Linked DNA regions of Pelodiscus sinensis. The protein of the gene in region 2 binds, or shares a complex with, the protein of the main gene of each other region. Links are inferred from orthologs where the notes say so. Each region holds a gene or a part of one and is shown on either strand. Other genes may lie near its edges.

Region 1 (11,615 bases), on a different chromosome or scaffold from region 2:
CTTACTGTCTCAGTGTAAATCCATGATACACACACATCGTGAATACTGCATGCAGATGTGGTCGCCTCATCGCAAAAAAGATAATCTCGGCATTGGAAAAAGTTCAGAAAAGGGCAACTAAAATTATTAGGATTTTGGAATGGCTGCCATATGAGGACAGATTAATAAAACTGGGACTTTTCATCTGAGAAAAGAGAAACTAACTGGGATTATGATAGAAATCTATAAAATCATGATCAGTGTGGAGAAAGTAAATAAGGAAAACTTATTTACTTGTTCCCATAACAGAAGAACTAGGGGTCACCAAATAAAATTCATAGGTAGCAGATTTATAACAAACAAAAGGAAGTATTTATTCACAAAACACACAGTCAACCTGTGGAACTCCTTGCCAGAGGATGCTGTGAAGGCCAGGACTTTAACAGAGTTCAGAAAAGAGGTAGATAAATTCACAGATAGGTCCATCAATGCTTATTAGCCAGGATGGGTAGGAATGGTGTCTGTAACCTGTTTGTCATAAGCTGGGAATGAGTGACTGGGAAGAGATCACTTGATGATCACCTGTTATATTCATTCCCGCTGAGGCATCTGGCATTGGCCACTGTTGGAAGACAGGATACTGGGTTAGATGGACCTTTTGTCTGACCCAGTGTGGCTGTTCTTACATGTTCTTATCAATAACTAGTTGCACATCTCTTTTGTTTCCAAAGATTATGCTTCTCAAATTGTGTGCTTTGAAAGTTTCCTTTGTGCAAATATTTGAAGCATGGCTCTGAGTATGCAAACACTAACACATACAAAGTGATGGATTTGGCTAAAGCAACAGTCTGTCAGAACTTCCACTGCTCTGCTCAATAAGATGCACTATGCTCAGACAGGCTTTGTATATTCTACTCCACAGCTCTCTATTCACATTTGTGCATTCTGTAATATAACTCTAGAATAACTCCCTTCCACTTGTGTTACTGTTAAAAGGCAGCTTTCCCCAGACTTCTCTTTAGACCCAGATTTGAAAATGTACTCTACCTGAGTTACAGACAAAAGACGTTTGAGAAAGTCCCTTGGATCTACCAGCAGCACCACCTCATTTTCCTCTTCGGACTTCACCAGGGTATCATCCTAGGGGAACAGAAACAACTTCTGATAGGATCTAGGCAATCACTTTTCATTTCTTGAAACCAAGCATGCCCAAAATGAAATTAAGTTGCCAGGTCTCAGCCCAGTTATACCATCTGGAATGGAATGACGTAATGGCTGAAGTTAGACCTGTAAAAGGCAGATAACATAAATACAGAGCACTGAGGGTGCAGAGAACAGAGCAGGACACCTACAAAATTCATCAACCTAGATAGAGATGTTCAAACTGGACTTGGCTGTACTGCAGCCTGTGTTATCACCTAATTTAGTTCATTGGAGATATTCAGAAAGGGGAAGACCCCATCAAGGGGAGAAAGTAAGCAAAAGATTCACACTACATCTGCACTGCACACCATATCAGTGAGTTACAGCAGTGCTTCTCAACCAGTGGTATGAGTACCCTTAAGGGTACGCAAGAGAAGTCGGGGGGGGGGGGTACGTTAACACAACTGAAATTTGGAGAAAACTTAATTTTTGTTTTAAGTTTTACAGCGCTTTATTATTTTTGTACTTTTTACACCCAAAAATATCATCGCCTGCCCAGCTACAATTAAGTTATTTAAACAAATGTGTTGCAATGGTAGAAAAAAAATGTGTGTGTCTGAGTGTGTGTGTGTGTGTGTGTATTTTTTTAAAGGGACTACTCATAATTATTTTTTTTGAAAAAGGGGTATAAAAATTTTTGTATAAAAAAAAGTTTGAGAAACACTAAGTTACAGCACCAGCCAGCTCTTATACCCCAAAACATTTAAAACTCTGGTCATCTGAAGAAGTGGGCAGTGCCCACAAAAGCTCATGATCCCATCTACATGCTTTGTTAGTCTATAAAGTGCTACCAGACCATTTTTTAAAATGTATCTTGTACACTGTACAGACTAACTTGGCTACCCCCTGAAGCTTCTGAACATTTAAAGGGTTACTCAGACAACCAGTCATCAAAGTACAGGATTGCTCTCAACTCAGCAACCTGAAATCCTTGTAATGGACATGGGAATAAACAATGGTGCTGCACTGACCATTGCAGTTTATCTGCAACATTCCTCATTTGGCATCAAACAGAAGGTAACTTCACTCCTTAGGATTTCCAACAGCCTGCATTCAGAAACAGCCACAGGATTTTCTAAAGAGCTCACGGGCTTCCTTTAGTAGCAAGGGAGCCTACTGTTTTCCCCAGTGGTGCAGTTCAAATCATCATTGGCCATCAAGGACGCCTCGCAGACACAGAATTCTTTTTAGAAATCTTTTTCAACTAGTTATCTGAAACCTCTCCATGATCAATGGCTCCCCTGACCTCCATCCTTTTGGCTGCAGACATTCACAGTCCTTCCTGGATGTGTATGTGTTTGAGAAAATGACAACCAGTTGCATGAAAGTCACTCACTCAGAAATAAACTATAGGTCAATGAGACTCAAGTCCATTCCCTGAGCTACCAGTGACCTGAGACTGATGACCCCGTAGCCCCGCCCAGAAAGACAAGTGGAAATGCCCGCACTAATAATTAATGCAATTCAAAGCTCCTTTCCCACAGCATAGCTGTTATCAGTTTAAAAGTATAAAGCAGATGAGGAAGCCCTCCAGAGAGTGAGGACAGATTGGATTCAGATACTTACAACACTGGAGAAACCGTTAGGAGTGTTTCGCCTCCAGGTTATGCTGCAGGGCACTTCCTGAGGCTCAATGTAGTAGTTACATTCCAAGGAATCAAAAGCCTTCATCAAAGCATCTGACCCAGGATCTTCTAATAGACCTGAGGGGAAAGAGAGCCCCTGAGGAGGTCAGAGAAGGGGGTCTCTACCCACATGCTGTCCTTGCCTGTGGACACCACTCCAGCAGCTCCCATTGATCAATAATGGAGAGCTGTAGCCAGTGGAGGCTGTGGGGCTGGTGCCTGTGGACGGGAGGACAGCACATGGAGCCACTGCTTCTGGGGGTGGTTGTGGGGCCAGAGCAGGGGTGGGCCTGCCTTGGCTCCACTGCCAAGGCAGTGACCTCAGAGAAGGAAAGGGAGTGGTAATAAACAGTAACTAAAAGCCACACAGAGGAAATGATTGTTGTAAAATCCTGACTGAATATGAAGAAAGTAAATAAGGGAGTATTGTTTGCTCCTTTTCATAATACAAGAACTAGGGGTCACCAAATGAAATTACTAGAGCAGAGTTTGGAACAAACAAAAGGAAGCATTTCTTCACACAATCCACAGTCAACCTGTGGAACTATTTGCCAGATAATGTAGTGAAGGTCTGTCACAGGATTTAAAAAAAATGCGATATATTCACTGAGGATAGGTCCATCAATAATTATTAGCTAGGATGGTGTCCTTGGCCACTGCTGACCAGAAGCTGGAAATGGGCAACAGAGGTTGGATCACGTAATGGTTACCGGTTCTGTTCATTACCTCTGGGGAACCTGGCCCTGGCCACTGTCAGAAGACAGGGTACTGGGCTAGATAGACCGAGGATGGCTGTTCTTATGATTATTTCAAGCTTGAATACTGAATAGAGCAGTATGCTGCATATCACCGCATTATCTCATAGAGAAATTTGCAGCACACAGTTTATTACAACCAGCACATGCAGGGGCACTTACAATTAATTTTGCCTTACTCTTCCTGTTAAAAGACCCTATTTACAGTTGTTTGTAACTTTGCCAATCTTAAAGCATACGGAGATGAAATTTTCCACCTCTGGAGTCTGTCTCAAACTGACTTTATAATGGGAAGTTTCAGCAAAAATAGTTTAGACACTTCCAAGAACAAAACTAGGAAAAATGCATTGTTTACCCATGTTAGAAATGTTCCTATAACCATTTTAATTGGGATGCTTGTATGTCCTCATCCTTCATCACAGGGACTTGAAATTTTGTAAGAGAGTTACTCTACGTGTCAGGGATGGACATGCCTTTTGTTATCCTGTGAAAATTCACCTAATCTGCCCAAGTCATAAACCTCCAAAAAAGTCACAATTAGCACATGTTCAGGAGAGACTTGCCTGTGTTTAGCACCTAAGAATGTCCAAAGATTCCATCTGCCTTGAGCATGCTTCATCTCCTCACTGCTCCTACATGCCAATGACCTACGCACATGCCATCATTGTGGAACAACTGAGCATGCTGCCTTTTGTCTGTTGCTGACCTGCAACTGTTGTGGGACACTGTGCCATAGGAACTAAGCTTTGTTTCCCCTGCTGGCAGCCAGCAAAAAGGAGGGAGAGGAACCCACTTGACTCTAATGCAGAGGGGAGAGAAAAAAGAGAGGGGACAGAGGCAGGAGCAGAGTAGGAGGGGAAGATAGGCATATAGGGGATATTGGCCGAAACTGGGAGGAAAACAGGCAGGAACTAGAAAGAATAGCATCAGGAGGTGAAAGGGGCTTGAGTTGGGGAGGGTTAACAGAAAAGTTGGAGAAGACCCAGACAGAAGAGTTACCAATAAAATATAACCACTAGAGAATGCTCTCTTACAAAGCCTGCAACTGAACCTATTATTCCTGAATCTCAGCATTCCTCTATTGTCCGGAAAATAGCTGTAAAACCCACCAGCAAAGTGGATCTCCATCCCCCTCTACTGGCAAGTCCAACTGAAGATACAGCCTTCTCCTGGAATCAGTTACTCTGTTAGCTTAACTAGTAGTGCACTGTTCTTTTAAACAGGGAGGAAGGAGAGAAATACATTGTGGGAGGCTGACGTACACAGAACCATTCATGACAATATTTTTGTCCCATCAGGCATTGGGCACCTAATTCAAATGGGCTGCAGAACCGGTGGAATAGCTACCCACAGTGTATTGCTAGTATGGCTGAAGGTAGCTTTGGTAGTGGGGTTGCATTCTGTTGACTTCATTTGCCTACTGAGGACATGCACCTTCGACTTTGTAAAATCAAATGCTAAAAGTTGACTTCAATACATTTGGCCTAATTTTGTAATGTAGACGTGCCATGAGAGAGCAGTGCCTCCCAGTTTAAATTAATCTCCACCTTCATAGTAGAAAGTGGTATTAGCACAGTGAGATCCTTAGAATAAACACTAGAAAAAAAATTAAAGCTAGTTCAGAGATTGTCTACCTGGGTCTATGCAGACAGTCATGTACTTCAGACATTGGTCTGGTCGAAGCAGCTTCAAAGTATCAAAAGCTTCCCTTCGCCTTTGTTTTTCTAGTACCTCCTGTGCTTTTCTCCTTTCTTTTTCTGTCTTTCTGATTTCCCTTTTAAGTTTCCTTGATTCTGCTCTTGCCTGACAGGCCTTTATATCTGCTGGAATTCTCTTCATTATATTTTGGCTTGGAGAGGATGTAGCTACTTGTTGAGGAGAAGCTGGCTCACTAGCACTCAGACAGCTTTTCAGGTCTTCTTGTACAGCATGATCACAAATGCCATGATCCAGTGTGTCAGCAGTTGGGTTCATCAGGGTAACAGTTTCTGTTTGATGTGATTCAATATCACTGTCTGCATCAGAATCTGAAATTTCCCAGGCAGCAGCTCTTTTGAAAAACCTGTTGATTTTGCCATTGGATTGATTCTTCGACTTTTCCTCCATGGTTTTATTTTTCTCTTCTGCGTTTCTAATTACCATTGTTGCTTAAAAGGCTGCTTAGAAAATGCAGAGTCACTTGATATTCCATGCCAATTTCTAATATATAAAGCACTAGTACACATTTATTTTTAAAATATTTACCCTTTGTTCAGGTTCGTTTTATTTATTTTAATTGCAAATAAAGTAAGAATCATTAAAAATAGAATTTCCTTTCATGGTTAGTAAAATCTAGCTTAGGACAAACAAGCAGCTCAGCGATAGGATGTAGCTTTCACGTTGAGTCCAGCACTCTCTGAACTCCACACCAGCCGGACCGGCTCTGACAAACTCACCAACTACCAAGCAAGCAACTGGCCTGGCGAGTCATCGGATCCCAGTGTTTCCGCAGAGCAGGCCCCTACACCCGGAGGTGTCGCGGGGAGGCGAAGGCTGCGCGCTCCTGCCGCTGAGCGAGCCGGGCCAGCGCGCGAGGGCGGCAGCCGCGGGGCGCAGAGAGTCCGGGCCGGATCCAGGCGGGGACGCGCCCCAAGCCCCGCCCCGAGCCCGCGAGGGAGGCCCCGCCCCGCGCCGCGCGGCAGGTTCCAGGGCCCGGCGGGCCGGATCCAGGCGGGGACGCGCCCCGAGCCCCGCCCCGAGCCCGCGAGGGAGGCCCCGCCCCGCGCCGCGCGGCAGGTTCCAGGGCCCGGCGGGTCGGATCCAGGCGGGGCCGCGCCCCGAGCCCGCGAGGGAGGCACCGCGCGGCGCAGAGCGTCCGGGTCGGATCCAGGCGGGGACGCGCCGCCAGCCCGCGCCATGGCCCGCAAGAAGCTGCACCGCCCGATCGCCGCCCTGGCCAGGAAGATCCGCGAGTACCGCGCGCTGAAGAGCCGGCCCCGCGACTCGCAGCGCTTCGCCCTGGATTACGAGACCATGGCCCGGCCCTTCACCGGCAAGCGCCTGCCCGTGCTGGCCTGGGAGGACGCGAGGCGCGAGAGCCGCCTCTTCGCGCTGCTCTGCCAGCGGCCGCTCTTCGGCCTGGGCCGCATGGTCACCCGCAAGGCCTGGCTCTGGCAGTACGAGGAGCCCTGCTACTGGCTCATCACCAGGGTCCGGGTGGACTACACCGCCGAGGTGAGCGCCGGCCCGGGGCGTGCGGCCCTGCCCGGGAGCTGGCTCCCCGGTCACCGTCGCGCCCGATTCAACCGCCTCCGCAGCGTTCACAGTCTCGCTGCCTGGCCCCGGAGCCAGACTCCCGACCCTCTTCTCGTGTGCGCCCGGGAAGCACCAGAGCACGGATTGCCTCAGAGGAGGCACCGTGTAATGAAAATCAGAGAGACTAGGATAGTGCTTGAGCACTGCAGACACCGCAGGAACGTCCCGAGACACGCTGATTAGTAGTGTGTGTGCTGTAGATTATGCACGTACGTAAGGATCTGGGCCTTAGTGGGGGACCTGTATTTGTATTGAGTCATTATAGAACTGAGAGCAGACAGTATATAGTACTCAGACAAATTATACTGCATTATTTATCACAACGTTAATTGCACAGGTTGTATAATGGCATTTGTTCAGTATTCTAGAAGAACACTAGTAGCCACAATTAGCAGTTATTGACATCAACTCACTTTTTGTGGCTCATGAGTAGTAAGACTATAAAAGGAGTTTCTCCTTGTGAATAGCATTGGTTCTTTAAGTGAACTGAGCACATTTTTGTTTTGTTTTTTCTTTGCAGAACTTGGATCATGGGAAAGCCTGGGGATACCTAACATTCAGAGGTAAATAGAGCTTGATGCATGCCTCACAAGCAGGATTAGAGACAAAAGTTAGCGTATAGGGCTAGGGGCCAACATAACGGCCAAACTGGGTCAGACACAAGGTCCATTTAGCCCAGTATCCTATCTGCCAACAGTGGCCAATACCAGATACCCCAGAGGGAGGGAACAGAACAGGTAATTATCACATGATACCTTTTCTACCCTTCCTAGCTAGCTTTCATGGAGGTTAGGTCCATCAATGGCTATCTAGCTTTTTTTTTTTTAACCGTTTTTTAAAGCAGTTTGGTATCATCTGCACGTTTTGCCACCTCACTGTTTATCCCTTTCTCTAGATCATTTATAACTAAGTTGAATAGGATGGGTCCCAGGACTACCTCTCTCCACTCTGAAAACTTATCATTTATTCCTGCCCTTTGTTTCTTGTCTTTTAAACCAGTTATCAGTCCATAGAAGGACCTTCCCTCTTACTCTATAGCAACTTTTACTTTACTTAAGAGACTTTGGTGAAAGACTTTGTCAAAGGCTTTCTGGAAATCAGTCTACTATATCCACTGGATCCCCCTTCTCCACATATTTGTTGACCCCCTCAAAGAACTCTAGTAGATTAGTAAGGCACAATTTCCCTTTACAGAAACCATCTTGACTTTTTCCCAACAAATTATGTTCATCTATGTGTCTGGCAATTTCATTCTTTATTATAGTTTCAACTAATTTGCCCAGTACTGATGTTAGATTTACCAGTCTGTAATTGCCAGGATCAGTGCTAGAGCCCTTTTTAAATATTGGCATCACATTAACTATTTTCTAGTCATTAGGTACAGAAGCCAATTTAAAGGATAGCCTACAAACCATAGTTAATAGTTCTGCAATTTCACATTTGAATTCTTTCAGAATTCTTGGGTGAATGCCATTTAGTCCCAGTTACTGTTAAGTTTATCAATTTGTTCGAAAACCTCTCTGACACCTCAGTCTGGGATAATTCCTCAGATTTGTCACCTAAAAAGAATGGCTCAGGTTTGGGGATCTTCCTAATAACCTCAGCCATGAAGACTGAAGCAAAGAATTAATTTAGCTTCTCTGAAATGACTTTATAATCTTTGAGTATTCCTTTAGCATCTCGATCATCCAAGGGTCCCACTGGTTCTTCTATGCCCACGAAAGCTCATGATACCATCTACATCTTTTGTTAGTCTTTAAGGTGCTGCTAGGTTATTTGTTGTTTTTTAAGTATTTCCTGCTATGTTAGACTCTTTGCCTCATCTGATCTGACCTATACTTCCATCCTGTATTCCTGACTAGAACATAGAGAATCTTTATTAATAGACCCTCCCCCTATTAATAGACCCTCCCCCTGTCTGATTCATGTGCTCCTCCACCCCTTAGTTTAAAAACTGCTCTACAACCTTTTTAACATTAAGTGCCAGCAGTCTGGTTCCATTTTGGTTTAGGTGGAGTCCATCCTTCCTGTGGAGGCTCCCCCTATCCCAAAAGTTTCCCCAGTTCCTAATAAATCTAAACCCTTCCTCTCTACACCATCATCTCATCCACGCATTGAGCATCTGAAGCTCTGCCTGCCTACCTGGTTCTGCGTGTGGAACTGGAAGCATTTCAGAGAACGCTACCATACAGCTCCTGGATTTCAATCTCTTTCCTAGCAGCCTAAATTTGGCCTCTAGAACCTCTCTCCTACCCTTCTCTGTCATTGGTACCTACATGTATCATGACCACCAGCTCCTCCCAAGCTCTACATATAAGTCTATCTAGATGTCTCGAGAGATCCGCAACCTTCGCAAGTCACCATACGGTTCTCCCGGTCATCACAAACCCAGCTCTCTCTGTTTCTAATAGGGCTGTCAATTGACATTCATTAATGCCTGCGATTAATGTGATGAAGTGCCGCTGCAGCGCTTCAAAGGGGCAGCGCAACATGGAGCATGGGATCAAGTGAGGACTCCCAGCTGACCCCGGGCTCCACTGCCCCTTTGAAACACACGGGTTCCGGGGAGTTCCCAGCTGACCCAGGGCTCCATGGATGCCCCTTTGAAATGCTGCCTTTGAAGTACTCCCCCCCCTCCTTTTGCTGCCTCTAGAGGCAGCAAAGGGAAGTGGTGGGGGGTCGACTAGTCTTTAACTTCCCTACCGGGGATCAGCTGGAGGGCCCAGCTAATCCCCGGCTCCATGTGGCGCTGCTGGTGCTTCAAAGGGGCAGCACAATGTGGAGCTGGGGATCAGCTGGACACTGCAGCTGATCCTGAGCTCCTAATGTGCTGCCCCTTTGAGGCGCTGGGGTGGTGTTTCCAAGGGGCAGTGCAACATGGAGCCCAAGATCAGCTGGGGACTCCAGCTGACCCCGGCCTCTGCCTTGTGCTGCCCCTTGGAAACTCTGCCCCGGCGCTTCAAAGATGCAGCACATTAGGAGCCCGGGCTCAGCGGGGGATTCTAGCTTATCCCGGGTTCCATGCAGCGCTACCCTGTTGAAAGGCCGCGGCTGCGTTTCAAAGGGGAGGCGCACATTTAATCGTGATTACATTTTTTTAATTGCTTGATAAGCCCTAGTTTCTAATGACTGAATCCCCCATTACTAGCACCTGCCTTTTCCTAATGACTGAAGTTCCCTCCCCTGGAGAGGTATCCTCAGTGCAAGAGGATACCATAACATCATCTGGAAGGAAGATTCCAACTATGGGATTATTTCCCTCTGCACCAGTTGACTGTTCTCCTTCCCTGAGCCTTTCAACCTCCTTAACAGCACAGGGGCTGTCTGACTAGAGATGGAAAGCCTCATCTGCGTACCTCTGTGCCTTCCTTAGCTCCTCCAATTCATCCACCCTGGCCTCCAAAGCACGTGGTCTTTGAGGGCCAGGAGCTCCTTTCACCGAATGCACACATGCCCCACCCGTCCATAGGGCAGGTAATGATAATTACACTGGGTGCAATAAACAGGATTGCCCCACTCTGCTGCTGGGCTTCTTCCTGCATTCTCTCCTACAGATAATTGGATTATTCAGGAGGAAAAAGTTGGCTTTCTTGTCACTCGGCAATCCGCCTCCACTGGTAGCTCCCCTTTTTCACTCACCCAACCTAATAAAATGAAAGCAAGAAAAGAAAACTTCCTAACAGTTTGATTTAGTCCACTGTAGAATTATTTCACAAGGAAAATAGTAAAAGTCCAATTCGTTTTAAATTACAAAAGTAACTTGAAGGAATCCCTAGAGACTCTGTCATAGTGGACAATCTGTGTTGGCAAGGAAATGGAGTCCGACAAATCGGTTCTCTTCCATCTGAAGTGTTTTATAAATATTAATGAATTAAACTCCCCAACATCCCTGTAAAGTATAGAGTTGTGGAAACTGAATAAGAGAGGCGAAATGACTTGGTCAAGCTAACAAGTGATCAAGAGCAGTGTCAGGACTATAATCCAGATGTTCTGTCAGTTGCCTGTGTTATCTGCTATACAACTTGTAGTGGGAGTGCGTACTGTAGTACAGGGGTCCCCAATGTGGTGCCCACTGGGGCATTTATGTGTGCCTGCCTAGCGCCACCCCCAGGTGCCCGGCGCATGCACGGCCCCACACCGGGCGCCTGCTTCACGCGCGGCACCCACCACCCAAAAAGGTTGGGGACCACTGCTGTAGTAGATACAACTCCCATAAAATATCCAGTACTATGCCGAGCTGAGGCATTGGAGATAATGCAGTGGCATAGTCCTCATTATGGAGTTTGTTCATAGTATTGTTTACTTGTTCATCATCTTTCCTTAGGCAAGACATATAATGAAGTGAAAGAGATTGACAAGGTGATGTATCATGACTGGCGGATGGTGCCCAAACATGAAGAGGAGTGCTTCAAGAAATTTACTCCAGTGTCAGTGGAAATCATTCAGTATGTGCCATATCCCCCCCTTCTCCGTGCCATGATCCTTGCACAAAGGCAGAAGGAAGGAAAACTTGACACACAGGAACCACTGATTGATCTGGAGAAAATCATCATCTTCACAAACGACTACTTTAAAAATCAGAAAAAAGCTAAGGGGACACCAGTATGAAGGTCTAGAGCTGTACATGTTGGAGCATCTGAAAGGCTTTTTAATATTCTGTGTTGATTGCGCATACAATTCTCCTTAATGAAGAATAGGACCATAAGCCACATGCCCACTTCTGGTTCAATGTATTAAAGTATAATATGTTGATGTCTCA
Region 2 (11,615 bases):
CGTAGTCCAGGACTAGCTCCCGCACTGGGCGCAGGTGCAGCTGCCCTGGGGGTAGATCGGGCTCAGGAGGGAGAGAGCAGGACCCCACCCCAGCCCTGTGTAGCCAGAATGAGGCAATCTAGGTGCCATGAGGCTCTGCTCCCCCATAACCCCCCACTTGGAAGTGACGTTCAGGGACACACACCCCAGTACCGTGTATCTGCATGTGTGGGGCTGGGGTAATGCCCCACTACATGTATGGGGGGTGGGGCCAGTCACACCTGAGGAGCGCTCCCTTGCTGCTGGCTGGGCAGCTCCTACCTGGGCAGGGCTGGACCTTCTCCCGGGCGACCCACACAAAGTCCCCCACGTGCAGCTTGCGCACGTCGAAGGGCACGGTGTTGCGGCGCAGCTCAGCCAGCAGGTCCTGCTTTCGAGCCCCAGGGCCTCTGAGGGGAGAGATGAGGTGGGACTGGGGCAAGCTCAGGACCCCTGCAATGCCCCAACCCTCCAAGACACTGTGAGTGACCCCCCGTTACCCCACATCTCATCCCTACAGCCCAGCCTACCTGGAACACCCCATAATCATTCCTGCTCAGGACCCCTAACCACACTCCCTCAATACACCCCCTACACCAACAGCACCGCAGCTCAGGGCCCCCAACGCACCCCATGGTCTCAATGAAATCCACACACAGGATGATGTCAAACTGGCCGGGTCTCAGTACGAATTCAGGGTCATGGGGTCTCTGCACTCCAGAGCCACCCGCTGCCCTCTCCTGACATCCCAGGGCGCCATCGAGCCTGCAGGAAAGTGGGGCAGACAGCACAATGAGAGCAGAGCCATGGAGAGGGGCCAGCAAAGGTAGGGAAGTCCTGTTCCACCCCCCAGCCTCCCAAGAGCACATGCTGGGGGAAGCTGGGAGTCGCTGCTACAGTGAGCAGCAACGCTCCCTTTGGCTGGGTCTGGAGAGACCAACCAGCCACAATGAATGGAGGGAGGGCTCCAACCACTAGACCCCACTTCCCTCCCAAAGCAAGGACCCCGCAGTTCTGACTCCCACCACCTGCACTCCGACCTGCTAGACTCCAGTCCTGCCCCAGTGTTGCAGGAGTCCTGCCCCCTCCCTGGGGGTATACCCCGCCTCAGGCAGGCACTCACAACTGGGGCTCCAGGCATAGTGTCTCCTCTGCAGCAGGATCTGGGGGTTGGGCACCCTGGGAGATCTCAGATTCTGGGGCTCGATCCTCTGAAATCGGAGCCTGCTCTGCAGCCACAAGCCTCTGGGCTAGCGCCAGCCCCTGCGCTGTCAAAGAGAACCTGCGGGGAGCAAAGGGCATCTGTACAGTGTCCCGTCTGCCGCCCTGCTAAACCCTCGCTCCGTACCCACAGCCTGGCACTTCATGCCGATCCCCGGCCCTGCAGCACGACACTCCTACTGAATCCCTGCCCTGCTCCCTAGCAGACCTCCAGGCAGCACAACACCCTCTGCTGAACCCCCCACTGGGCCTCTGGGAGCGCGTGGGTACAATCCAGGCACGCTGAGCAGGATCAGGCACTCGCTGCCTGGCTCCTTCCCATGCGGGACGCTCCCTTGAGGTGCAGCCTTTCACCTGTTGGCCCCCATGGCAGGCAGATCCCCAAGGCCAGCAGCGAAGGGGTAACAGCACCAGGCTCATTCCAGCCAACAGACTGGCCCCCCAGGAAAACTGGGTCATGGGGAACACGGGGGGCAGAAGCAGCCTGGGCAGCGAGGTCACCTGGCTGGGCCGGGCTCGCCTGGGGCAGCTGATGTCAGGGGACCCTTTCACTGGAGGCTGGACAGTTATAAAAGGGGGGAGCTGAGCTCTTGGGAGGCTTGGGCCATTTTCAGCAGTTCCAGCAGAGGGAGAAGCCTTGAGGCAGAAGCCTTGTCAGAGCCCAGACAGGTCAAGGCCTCCCCAGGGAAGGCGGAGCTAGCGGTTAGTGCTGTGGGCAGGAGGCTGGGTCTGAGCTCTGTGCTGGGTGTGAAGAGGTAAAGAGAGCACAGCAGGGGAGTCTGGGAGGTGTCTGACACCTTGGGGCTCCTGCAAGCACTGAGTTGCACCCAGAAGGCTCACCCCTCAGGACAGGGGCTGTCTGCATGGTGATCAGGCTGAGGGGCTGTGCTGCATCCAGGTACTAAGCTCACAGGAAGAGCTGCACCCCAAAAGAGGGACAGGGCCTGGACACAGGTGAGGCTCAAGTAACAGGGACCCAGAGGCCGGATTCTCTTCCCTGTCGGCCGGCCGAAGGCAAGCACATGCCCAGTAACACAGACTAGGGAACCAGCTTATGACACTCATCCTAGTGTAGAATAAGCTGCAAGATTTGCAGGGGGAGACAGAGCAGTGATGTTTCAGGCAGGTATCCTCCAGCAGACCAGGGTGCACCAGCCTAGCTGTCCACCAGGTGGAGACAGAAGGCAACTTTCCCATCTCCTTTCAGTCATGGGGAAAAACTGCCCACCACCTGGAACATGCTGCCCTTGGGGGGCTTCAGCTGCCCAACAGCCCAAGCAGCAAAGGGTTAGGGAAAGGCTCATGCAATCACAGTGTCTGATGCTTCCCCCATGCCCCCAGTGGAAGAGGTTCTAGACAAGGGGATGCTTGCCCCCTTGGCACCATGGACCGCACCAAGGGCAAGAAGGGGGTGCCAGGTGCTTTCACCCCTCACCAGGACTCTAGAAGTCCCTGGATTTACCTCTGGCCTAAACAGAACCTGCCACCTTTCAGTGCCTAGTCGCTGAGTTACTGAAGGGAATGGAGGACTTTGGCCTTTTGATCCACCCCATGGCCTGTCCCAGTGAGACTCCAAGACAGAGTCTTTGCCTGCTGCAGCCCAAGGCTGCTCAAAATGGCTGGTAGGTCCCTTTAGGTGCTGTGCACCCCTGGTGGGCAAAGGGAGCTGCAATGATTGGGCTGGAGGCAGCGCACAAATTCTCCCCTCCCCGCAAGGGGCATGTGGTGCCCTCACCGTGTGCTGCTGCCTCTGATACAAGGGCAAGGCAGACAAATGGCTCCCACGGGAACAAAGGAACAACCTGTTAAGGGGCTGGTTTGAAGGTTGCTCCTGTGATCAGACAGGATGCCCGCATGGGCAGAGTGAAGATGGAGCTCAGAGAACCAGAATGTGGCAAAGCATTTGCTGCTACCAACATGGACTCTTAAGTGTGGCTTTCCCAGGCTGCTGGAGAGCCCTGCGACACTGGATCCCAGGTGACGACATTATGCTCCCTCAGCCTGGCCAAGCTGCCCAGCTTCCCTACAGACCCTGGCGTCGCTGCAGCAAGCTCAGGAGAGACCCACACTGAGTCACTAAGGCTGCCTGGCTGGCAGCTGCCCTTAAGGAAGGTGTGGGCCTCTGGGCACTGGGGTTACGCCCAGGAGACTGGGTAATGGCCAAGGTATGCCCACAAAAACCCACAGCAGCACACTACTCCCTGCTGAAGCCCATTCCCCACAGCACAGCACCCTTCCAAAGGCCAGCACTCCCTCCCGAACCCTGAACCATGCCTCCTGCAGCACAGCACCCTACCTGGCCGGTACATTGGTTTTCAGCACCAGCTCTTTGCGGATCAAGGTGCCCACCGATGCCCAAGCTGTGTACCTATTTCCCGGGTCACCCTGCAAGACACAGATACCCCATGTGACTCTTCTGGGTGGGACCTGCTTGAGCCGGAGGGCAAGACTGGGGGAAGTAGAGGCTGTAGGGAAACTTGAGGGGGTGGGGTGGAGTGATGGGCTCAGATCTCTATGGCAGGACTGATGGCTCATCAAGACTAACACTCCCCCAATAAGAGGTGCCTGTCATCAACTCCAAGCCTCCTGAGGAATGTTTGATGGTGCTGGACTGAAAGGGGCCAGCTGGGGGACGCCACGGCAGCTCTCACTCACCAGGGTGAAGGATTTGTCACACAGCGGCTGAGCTGCCCGTTGCAGCTCAGGCTTCGTCAGGAACCCCCGGCTGTGTGGGCTCTGTAATGGGGAGCAGGGAAGTCAGCAGTGGAGAGAGAACATCGGAAGCCTGGCTCCAAACCCCACTTCCTTCCCAGTGCTAAGAACAGAACCCAGGGATGCCGGCTCCCAGCCCACTGCTCTAGCCATTAGACCCTACTCCCCTCCCAGAACAGGGGCATGGAACCCAGGATTCCAGGCTTACCATGCTGTCCTTGTAGAGGGCTAGCAGCACAGCATAGCCCCCAGAGCGTGGGGCTGGGACGTACGCCCGGGCTGGACGGTGCTTCCTCTGGAAAGAGAAGTGAGAATCAGCAGGGTCCCCACTCTGATCTCCTCACTGTACCGACGTCCTTCCAAGCCCCCACCTGTCCCTGCAACCCACAGGGACTTACCCAGCATCTCAGAGAGCCAGTTCCAGGGCTAGAACCCAGGAATTCTAACTCCACCCCCCTTCCCTAACCACTAGACCCCCCCACTCTCTTCCCAGAGCCAGATAGATCCCAGGAGACCTGGTTCCAAGCCCTTCTGCCAGAGGCTGTGCTCTCACCATCGGGGGAGGCTCCCGGTCCACAAGTGAGTCCTGTGAGGCAGAAGGGTCATCGGGGGAGTGGTGCTCTGTGCTGGGGGGATCACTTTCCTGTGCTCCCATGGAGGGGCTGGCCCCTCCCACAGTTTCAAAGAGCACCTCTGCACCTAGGGTTCAAAAAGAAATAAGTTAGGTGCTCCCTCAACCAGCCAGTCCCCCTACCCTGGGCCCGGATTGGAGCCTATGCCCCCTAAAGGACAGGTCCTTTCTCCTATTCCCAGCCTCCCTCAGCCAGACCATTCCCCCACCCTCCAGCTGGAGACATGGGGGGGACTCCTTCCAGGGAGCAGACTCTCACTTGTTAGGCTCAAGGACAGGCACCATGGGAGGGAGGGGGAGACAATACCCTCCCATTTAATATGAGAGACCCTACAATAACAAAGCACTGGCATTTGATTTCAAATCTGCCACAGTTGTTTAGGATCTTAAAGATAGTGGAACCTGCTATCTAGGACCACTGGTGCACCTTATGCCTTCGTGTGGCTGCCTGCCCCCTGCTCATCATCCTTCAATTCATGCCATCCTGGGGACCCCTCAGCCCTGGTACCCCATCCCTGGTGCTCTGCACCTACCCTCCTCAGCTCGGTGCTTCTCCAGCTGCTCGTCCAGCCTCCGGCAGATCCCATCCCCAAAATGCTGTAGAATCGCAGCCTCACGCCCACTGCGCAGGGGCAGCGGGTACCTCCGAAGAGAGCTCAGGGCCTGGCAGAGAGGAGATACTGACACAGGGAGCCTCCAGCTCATCCTCCCCCAGTGTGATCCCAGCACAGGAGCCAGGACTCCTGGGTACCGTGGGGGCTAGCGAGATAGAGCAGGGGGCTGGGAGCCAGGATTCCTGGGCGTTAGTCCCAGCTGGAAAGGGAGGGGAGTGATGTGCAGTGGTCAGAGCAGGAGGGCAGGTCTGGGAACCAGGACTCACCCTCTCATACACGAACTGGGTCTTCCTGCCCTTCTCGGCAGCCTCATCCCTCCACTCCGTCAGCCACCGCACGAAGAGCGGGTTAGGGCAGGCGGGCACCGGCTTCTTCCGCCCCAGCCGCCGTGGGGCCGCCATCCCGCAGCCGAGCTGGGCAAGGAGCAGCGCCCCCGCCCCCAGCCCCGGGACTCGCAGCCTCGCTCCTCTAGGGGGCGCCGGCTCCGATCCAGCCCGGGGGGGGGGTCCCCCTCGCTCGACCTCTGCCCCGGCCGGGGGGGGCCCTGGTGACTCACGCTTCACGGGGGATGACAGGCCACGCCCCCTCCCGGACTCATGGGTTCCCCCGAACCCTCCGCCCCCAACCCGGGAGCGATTCCCCCCTTTCCCTTAGCCCCGCCCCTCGCAGCTGGGCATCGTAGAGCGCGGACACTCCCGGGCCAGAGCGTCCGCCGCGTGGGGAACTCCAGCCCCCCCTGGCGGCCCGAGGGAGACGCGCAGAGCCCGCACTGCCCAAAGCGCTGCGGGTGCCCCTCGGAACAGAGCGAGCAGCTGGGCGCTGGCGGGGCGCCTGGAACTCGGGGCTGGGGTAGCAGGAGGCCGCGGGCCGGGAGTGGGGGACACAGGCAGGGCTGGGGGGCTATCCCAACCCTGGGAGCCAGAACTCCTGGGCTCTACTCGCAGCTCAGAAAGGGAGGGTAGTGAGGGGTAGTGTGCTCACTACAGAGCAGTGCCATAACTAGGTATTTTTGTGCCCCAGGCAAAATATTAATTATGTGCCCCCTCTCCTCCAAATTAAAAAATGTCTCTAGTTTACTAATTATGTATCTTTAAGTCAAGAAAAATCAACTAAATCAACAGTATAGTAATATAACAAATATATTTTCAATATTAGGAACATGTTTTATAATGTCTATGAATGGAAAAGTGTTGTAGGGGATCAAATACCTATGCCAAGCATTAGCACCAAAATACCTTTAATATTTTGACGCAGCATTGAGTGTGTTGACAGTGTATTCGCATGTACGTGCATTGAAAAACCACTGCATCCACTGTGAACTGTTTTCTGTATTCAACATTGGTAATGCTGTAAAGGCTCAATGTGCCCAACGCTCCGTGTAAATTCAGCTTAAAGTGAAGCAAGCTGAAGCCTGCTGCCTCTCAAGAAAATGTGTAAATGGAGACTTTGCGAGCCTTTCAGCATGACTGTTTCGTTTCCTGTCAGGCCTCGAGACAGGCTCGTATAAACTGGGACTTAGGTTAGCACATGTTGCACTCTTTACTTTTGTATCTTATTATTTTTACTTATTGCATCTTTGTGCCCCTGATTATGATGTGTCCAGGGCAAGCGGCCCACCCTTGTTATGGTACTGCAGCAAAGGGGCTGGGAACTAGGACTCATTCTACGTCTACACTGGCATGATCTTGCGCAAGAACTCTTTTGCAGAAGAGTTCTTGTGCAAAAACTCTTTCCAGAAGAGAGCGTCTACACTGGCATGTGCGTTTGTGCAAGAGATGTGCTTGTGCGCAACAGCATCCATGCCAGTGTAGACGCTTTCTTACGCAAGAAAGTTCTGCTGGCCATTTTAACCATGGGGCTTTCTTGTGCAAGAAATTCATGTTGCCTGTCTACACTGGTCTCTTGCGCAAGAACAGTTGCGCAAGAGGGCTTATTCCTGAGCAGGAGCATCAGAGTTCTTGCGCAAGAAGCACTGATTTCATACATTAGAACGTCAGTGTACTTGAGCAAGAACTCACGGCCAGTGTAGACAGGCAGCAAGTTTTTGCACAAGATCACGCCAATGTAGACACAGCCATGAGGTGTGGGGGGGTTGGTTGCAAGAGGCTGTGGGTAAGGAGTGAGGAGGACTGGCAGATCTGGGGGGGTTTCTGTGCCTACAGAGACTAGTGGCATCTCTCCCTTTTAGCTCCTTGTTTAGCTTTCCCCCTTCTTGGCAGTGTAGTGAGAGCGCCCCCAATCTCAACCACCAAGCAGGAGGGTCAGGTAGCACTGTCCAACCCCCATCCTCCCTGGCCAGGATATAGGGCCAGTGGCCCCAACCTTTCCAGAGCCTTTCAGGAGTCTTGATTTGTCTTCTTGTGTAGCCCCAAGTTTCCCTCACATATAAGAACATAAGAACAGCTGTACTGGGTCAGACCAAAGGTCCATCTAGCCCAGTATCCTGTCTACCGACAGTGGCCAGCACCAGGTGCCCCAGAGAGGATGGACCGAAGACAATGATCAAGTGATTTGTCTCCTGCCATCTCTCTCCAGCCTCTGATAAACAGAGGCCAAGGACACCATTTTATCCCCTGGCTAATAGCCTTTTATGGACCTAACCTCCATGAAATTATCTAGCTTCTCTTTAAACTCTATTATAATCCTAGCCTTCACAGCCTCCTCTGGCAAGGAGTTCCACAGGTTGACTACACGCTGTGTGAAGAAGGACTTTCCTTTATTAGTTTTAAACCTGCTCCCCATTAATTTCATTTGGTGTCCTCTAGTTCTTCTATTTAGGGAACTAATAAATAACTTTTCTTTATCGGCCCTCTCCACACCACTCATGATTTTATAGACCTCTATCATATCCCCCCTCAGTCTCCTCTTTTCTAAACTGAAAAGTCCCAGTCACTTTAACCTCTCCTCACCTAAAAAAACCTGCTTTCTTACAAAATCGGATATAAAAATACAGAAGTGTCACAGCACACTATTACTCAGGAAGGACAGACAGGGAAAAAAGGGAGGAGGGGTTGCCTTGTATATTAAAAATGTACACACTTGGACTGAAGTGGAGATGAATGTAGGAGATAGCTGTGTAGAGAGTCTCTGGGTTAAGCTAAAAGGGGTAAAAAATGAGGGTGATATCATGCTAGGAGTCTACTACAGGCCACCTAGCCAGGTGGAAGAGGTGGATGAGGCCTTTTTTAAACAATTAACAAAACTATCCAAAGCCCAAGATTTGGTGGTGATGGGGGACTTCAACTATCCAGACATATGTTGGGAAACTAACACAGCGAGGCACAGGCTATCCAATAAGTTTCTGGACTGCATTGGAGACAACTTTCTGTTTCAGAAGGTTGAAAAAGCTACCAGAGGAGAAGCTGTTCTGGATTTGGTTTTAACAAATAGGGAGGAACTAGTTGAGAACTTGAAAGTGGAAGACAGTATAGGGGACAGTGATCACGAAATAATAGAGTTCATGATCTTAAGGAAAGGTAGAAGGGAGACCAGCACAATTGAGGTAATGGATTTCAGGAAGGCAGATTTTGATAAGCTCAGAGAACTTGTAGGTAAGGTCCCATGGGAAGCAAGACTGAAGGGAAAAACAACTGAGGAGAGTTGGAAGTATTTCAAAGGGACGTTGTTAAGGGCCCAAAAGCAAACAATTCCGCTGTGTAGGAAAGATAGAAAATATGGCAAAAGACCAGCTTGGCTTAACAAGGAGATCTTGCATGATCTCAAAATAAAAAAGGAGTCATATAAAAATGGAAACTAGGACAACTAACAAAGGATGAATATAGGCAAGCAACACGGGAATGCAGGGACAAGATTAGAAAGGCAAAGGCACAAAATGAGATCAAACTAGCTACAGGCATAAAGGGAAACAAGAAGACCTTTTATAAATACATTAAAAGCAAGAGGAAGACCAAGGACAGGGTAGGCCCACTGCTTAGTGAGGAGGGAGAAGCAGTAACAGGGAACTTGGAAATGGCGGAGATGCTCAATGACTTTGTTTCGGTCTTCACCGAGAAGTCTGGAGGTGTGCCCAATGTAGTGAATACAAGCAGAGAGAGGGTAAGTTTAGAAGATAGGATACACAAAGAACAAGTTAAAAATCACTTAGGAAAGTTAGATGTCAGCAAGTCACCAGGTCCTGATGAAATGCATCCCAGGATACTCAAGGAGCTGATAGAGGAGGTATCTGAGCCTTTAGCTATGATCTTTGAAAAATCATGGCAGACAGGGGAGATTCCAGAAGACTGGAAAAGGGCAAATATTGTGCCCATCTATAAAAAGGGGAATAAGAACAACCCAGGAAACTACAGACCGGTCAGTTTAACGTCTGTCCCAGGGAAGATAATGGAGCAGGTAATTAAGGAAATCATATGCAAACACTTGGAAGGTAATAAAGTGATAGGGAATAGCCAGCATGGGTTTGTGAAGAACAAGTCATGCCAAACTAATCTGATAGCTTTCTTTGATAAGATAACGAGCCTTGTGGATAAGGGAGAAGCGGTGGATGTCATATACCTAGACTTTAGTAAGGCATTTGATACGGTCTCGCATGATATTCTTATTGATAAACTAGGCAAATATAACGTAGATAGGGCCACGATAAGGTGGGTGCATAATTGGCTGGATAACCGTAGTCAGAGAGTTGTTGTTAACGGTTCTAAATCCTGCTGGAAAGGGATAACAAGTGGAGTTCCTCAAGGGTCTGTTTTGGGACCCGTACTGTTCAATATCTTCATCAATGATGTAGATATTGGGATAGAGAGTACGCTTATTAAGTTTGCAGATGATACCAAACTGGGTGGGGTTGCGACTTCTTTGGAGGATAGGGACATAATTCAAAATGACCTTAGCAAGTTAGAGAAATGGTCAGAGGTAAACAGGATGAGGTTTAATAAAGAGAAATGCAAAGTGCTCCACTTAGGAAGGAACAATCAGTTCCATACATACAAGATGGGAAGCGACTGTCTAGGAAGGAGCATGGCGGAAAGGGATCTAGGGGTCATAGTGGACCACAAGTTGAATATGAGTCAATAGTGTGATGCTGTTGCAAAAAAAGCAAATATGATTCTAGGTTGTATCAACAGGTGTGTTGTAAGCAAAACTCGTGAAGTCATTCTGCCGCTCTACTCTGCACTAGTTAGGCCTCAGCTGGAGTACTGTGTCCAGTTCTGGGCGCCACATTTCAAGAAAGATGTGGAGAAATTGGAAAGGGTCCAGAGAAGAGCGACAAGAATGATTAAAGGTTTAGAGAACATGACCTATGAAGCCAGGCTTCATGAACTGGGCTTGTTTAGTTTGGAAAAAAGAAGATTAAGGGGGGACATGATAGCGGTTTTCAAATATCTAAAAGGGTGTCACAAGGAGGAAGGAGAAAATTTGTTCCTCTTGGTTTCTGAGGACAGGACAAGGAGTAATGGGCTCAAAGTGCAGCAGGGGAGGTTTAGATTGGACATTAGGAAAAAATTCCTAACTGTCAGGGTGGTCAAATATTGGAATAAATTGCCAAGGGAGGTGGTGGAATCTCCCTCTCTGGAGATATTTAAGAACAGGTTAGATAGACATCTGTCAGGGATGGTCTAGACAGAGGCTTGGTCCTGCCTTGAGGGCGGGGGGCTGGACTCGATGACCTCTCGAGGTCCCTTCCAGTCCTATGATTCTATGATTCTATACTGAACAATTGCTGACTTTCTCATTTTTGCCATACAATTTAATTGGAATGTAAATATTGTACTTACATTTCAGTGGTTGGTATATAGAGCAGTATAAACAAGTCATTGTATGAAATTTTCATTTGTACTGACTTTGCTAGTGCTTTCTATGTAGCCTGCTGTAAAACTAGGCAAATATCTAGATGAGTTGCTATACCCCCTGGAAGATCTCCCAGGATACATGTCCGCTGCTAAAGGGTTTTTAGACTGGCTGGTAAGAGGTTAAGGGAAGCAGCAGAATATGTGTGACAAGAAGGATGTACATATTGGCGAGTAGATTTATGATACAGCTGGAGCCTTCAAGGCAGGGTGACCATATTTCCCAAAGGACAGAGTATGGGCCTAGACTAAGTGCCTCCCCAGACTCCCCTCCCAGGACTGGCCCAAGCTGCTGGTTCAAGCACATGTGAATACATCCCCATGGTGCTGGCTGGGGCTCCTCACCCAAGCTGCCTTCCCCTTGCACACAGCTGGGGCTAGCTGGGGTGATGGCTTGTCCAAACCCTGCCCACCTCCTCCATGGCTGCTTGTTTGAGCCCTGACTCCTCCCCAGTGTGCACAGCTGTGGTGGCTGCCCACCTGAGCCCTGCCTCCCGCTCACACACCATGCACAGCTGGGGTTGGTGCTGGCTCACCCAAGCCCTGCCTGCTTTCCCAGACATGGACCAGGTGGCTGCACACCCAAGCCCTGTGCACAGCTGGGGTGGCTGCTTG

What was found.
Region 1: the proteins of MUS81 (region 2) and EME2 are in contact, whole or in part, in a crystal structure (PDB 7F6L), measured with the Homo sapiens proteins. The link is inferred for Pelodiscus sinensis from reciprocal best matches to the Homo sapiens genes MUS81 and EME2. Residues at the interface, in NP_079404.3 of Homo sapiens: His330, Glu351, Phe354, Lys357, Arg358, Arg363, Val365, Glu381, Leu385, Gln386, Thr389, Asn390, Gln392, Val393, Ile394, Phe398, Lys400, Arg401, Tyr411, Leu414, Leu415, Arg417, Gly418, Leu419, Arg421, Leu422, Pro447, Ile464, Lys467, Ala468; in NP_001244299.1 of Homo sapiens: Glu140, Arg177, His179, Glu220, Glu221, Val224, Leu225, Gln227, Leu228, Trp229, Asn231, Leu232, Asp233, Leu235, Arg245, His246, Ala249, Val250, Lys252, Ala253, Leu254, Gln256, Tyr257, Lys260, Gln261, Glu264, Gln266, Phe268, Phe270, Cys271.

The regions. Positions count from the first base shown.
Region 1 is NC_134726.1:459,821-471,435, forward strand, and holds the start of EME2 (structure-specific endonuclease subunit EME2), read right to left. Parts: upstream 6,173-11,615; 5' UTR 5,998-6,172; exon of another isoform or gene 5,719-5,997; 5' UTR 5,705-5,718; coding exon 5,197-5,704; intron 2,886-5,196; coding exon 2,749-2,885; intron 1,120-2,748; coding exon 1,027-1,119; intron 1-1,026. Other genes in the region: MRPS34 (small ribosomal subunit protein mS34), read left to right, coding at 6,458-6,775, 7,377-7,419, 11,181-11,464. UniProt on the Homo sapiens protein: Non-catalytic subunit of the structure-specific, heterodimeric DNA endonuclease MUS81-EME2 which is involved in the maintenance of genome stability. In the complex, EME2 is required for DNA cleavage, participating in DNA recognition and bending.
Region 2 is NC_134721.1:32,560,016-32,571,630, forward strand, and holds the start of MUS81 (structure-specific endonuclease subunit MUS81), read right to left. Parts: upstream 5,846-11,615; 5' UTR 5,598-5,845; coding exon 5,463-5,597; intron 5,246-5,462; coding exon 5,116-5,245; intron 4,651-5,115; coding exon 4,505-4,650; intron 4,247-4,504; coding exon 4,160-4,246; intron 3,976-4,159; coding exon 3,895-3,975; intron 3,625-3,894; coding exon 3,536-3,624; intron 1,301-3,535; coding exon 1,142-1,300; intron 784-1,141; coding exon 649-783; intron 429-648; coding exon 301-428; intron 46-300; coding exon 1-45. UniProt on the Homo sapiens protein: Catalytic subunit of two functionally distinct, structure-specific, heterodimeric DNA endonucleases MUS81-EME1 and MUS81-EME2 that are involved in the maintenance of genome stability.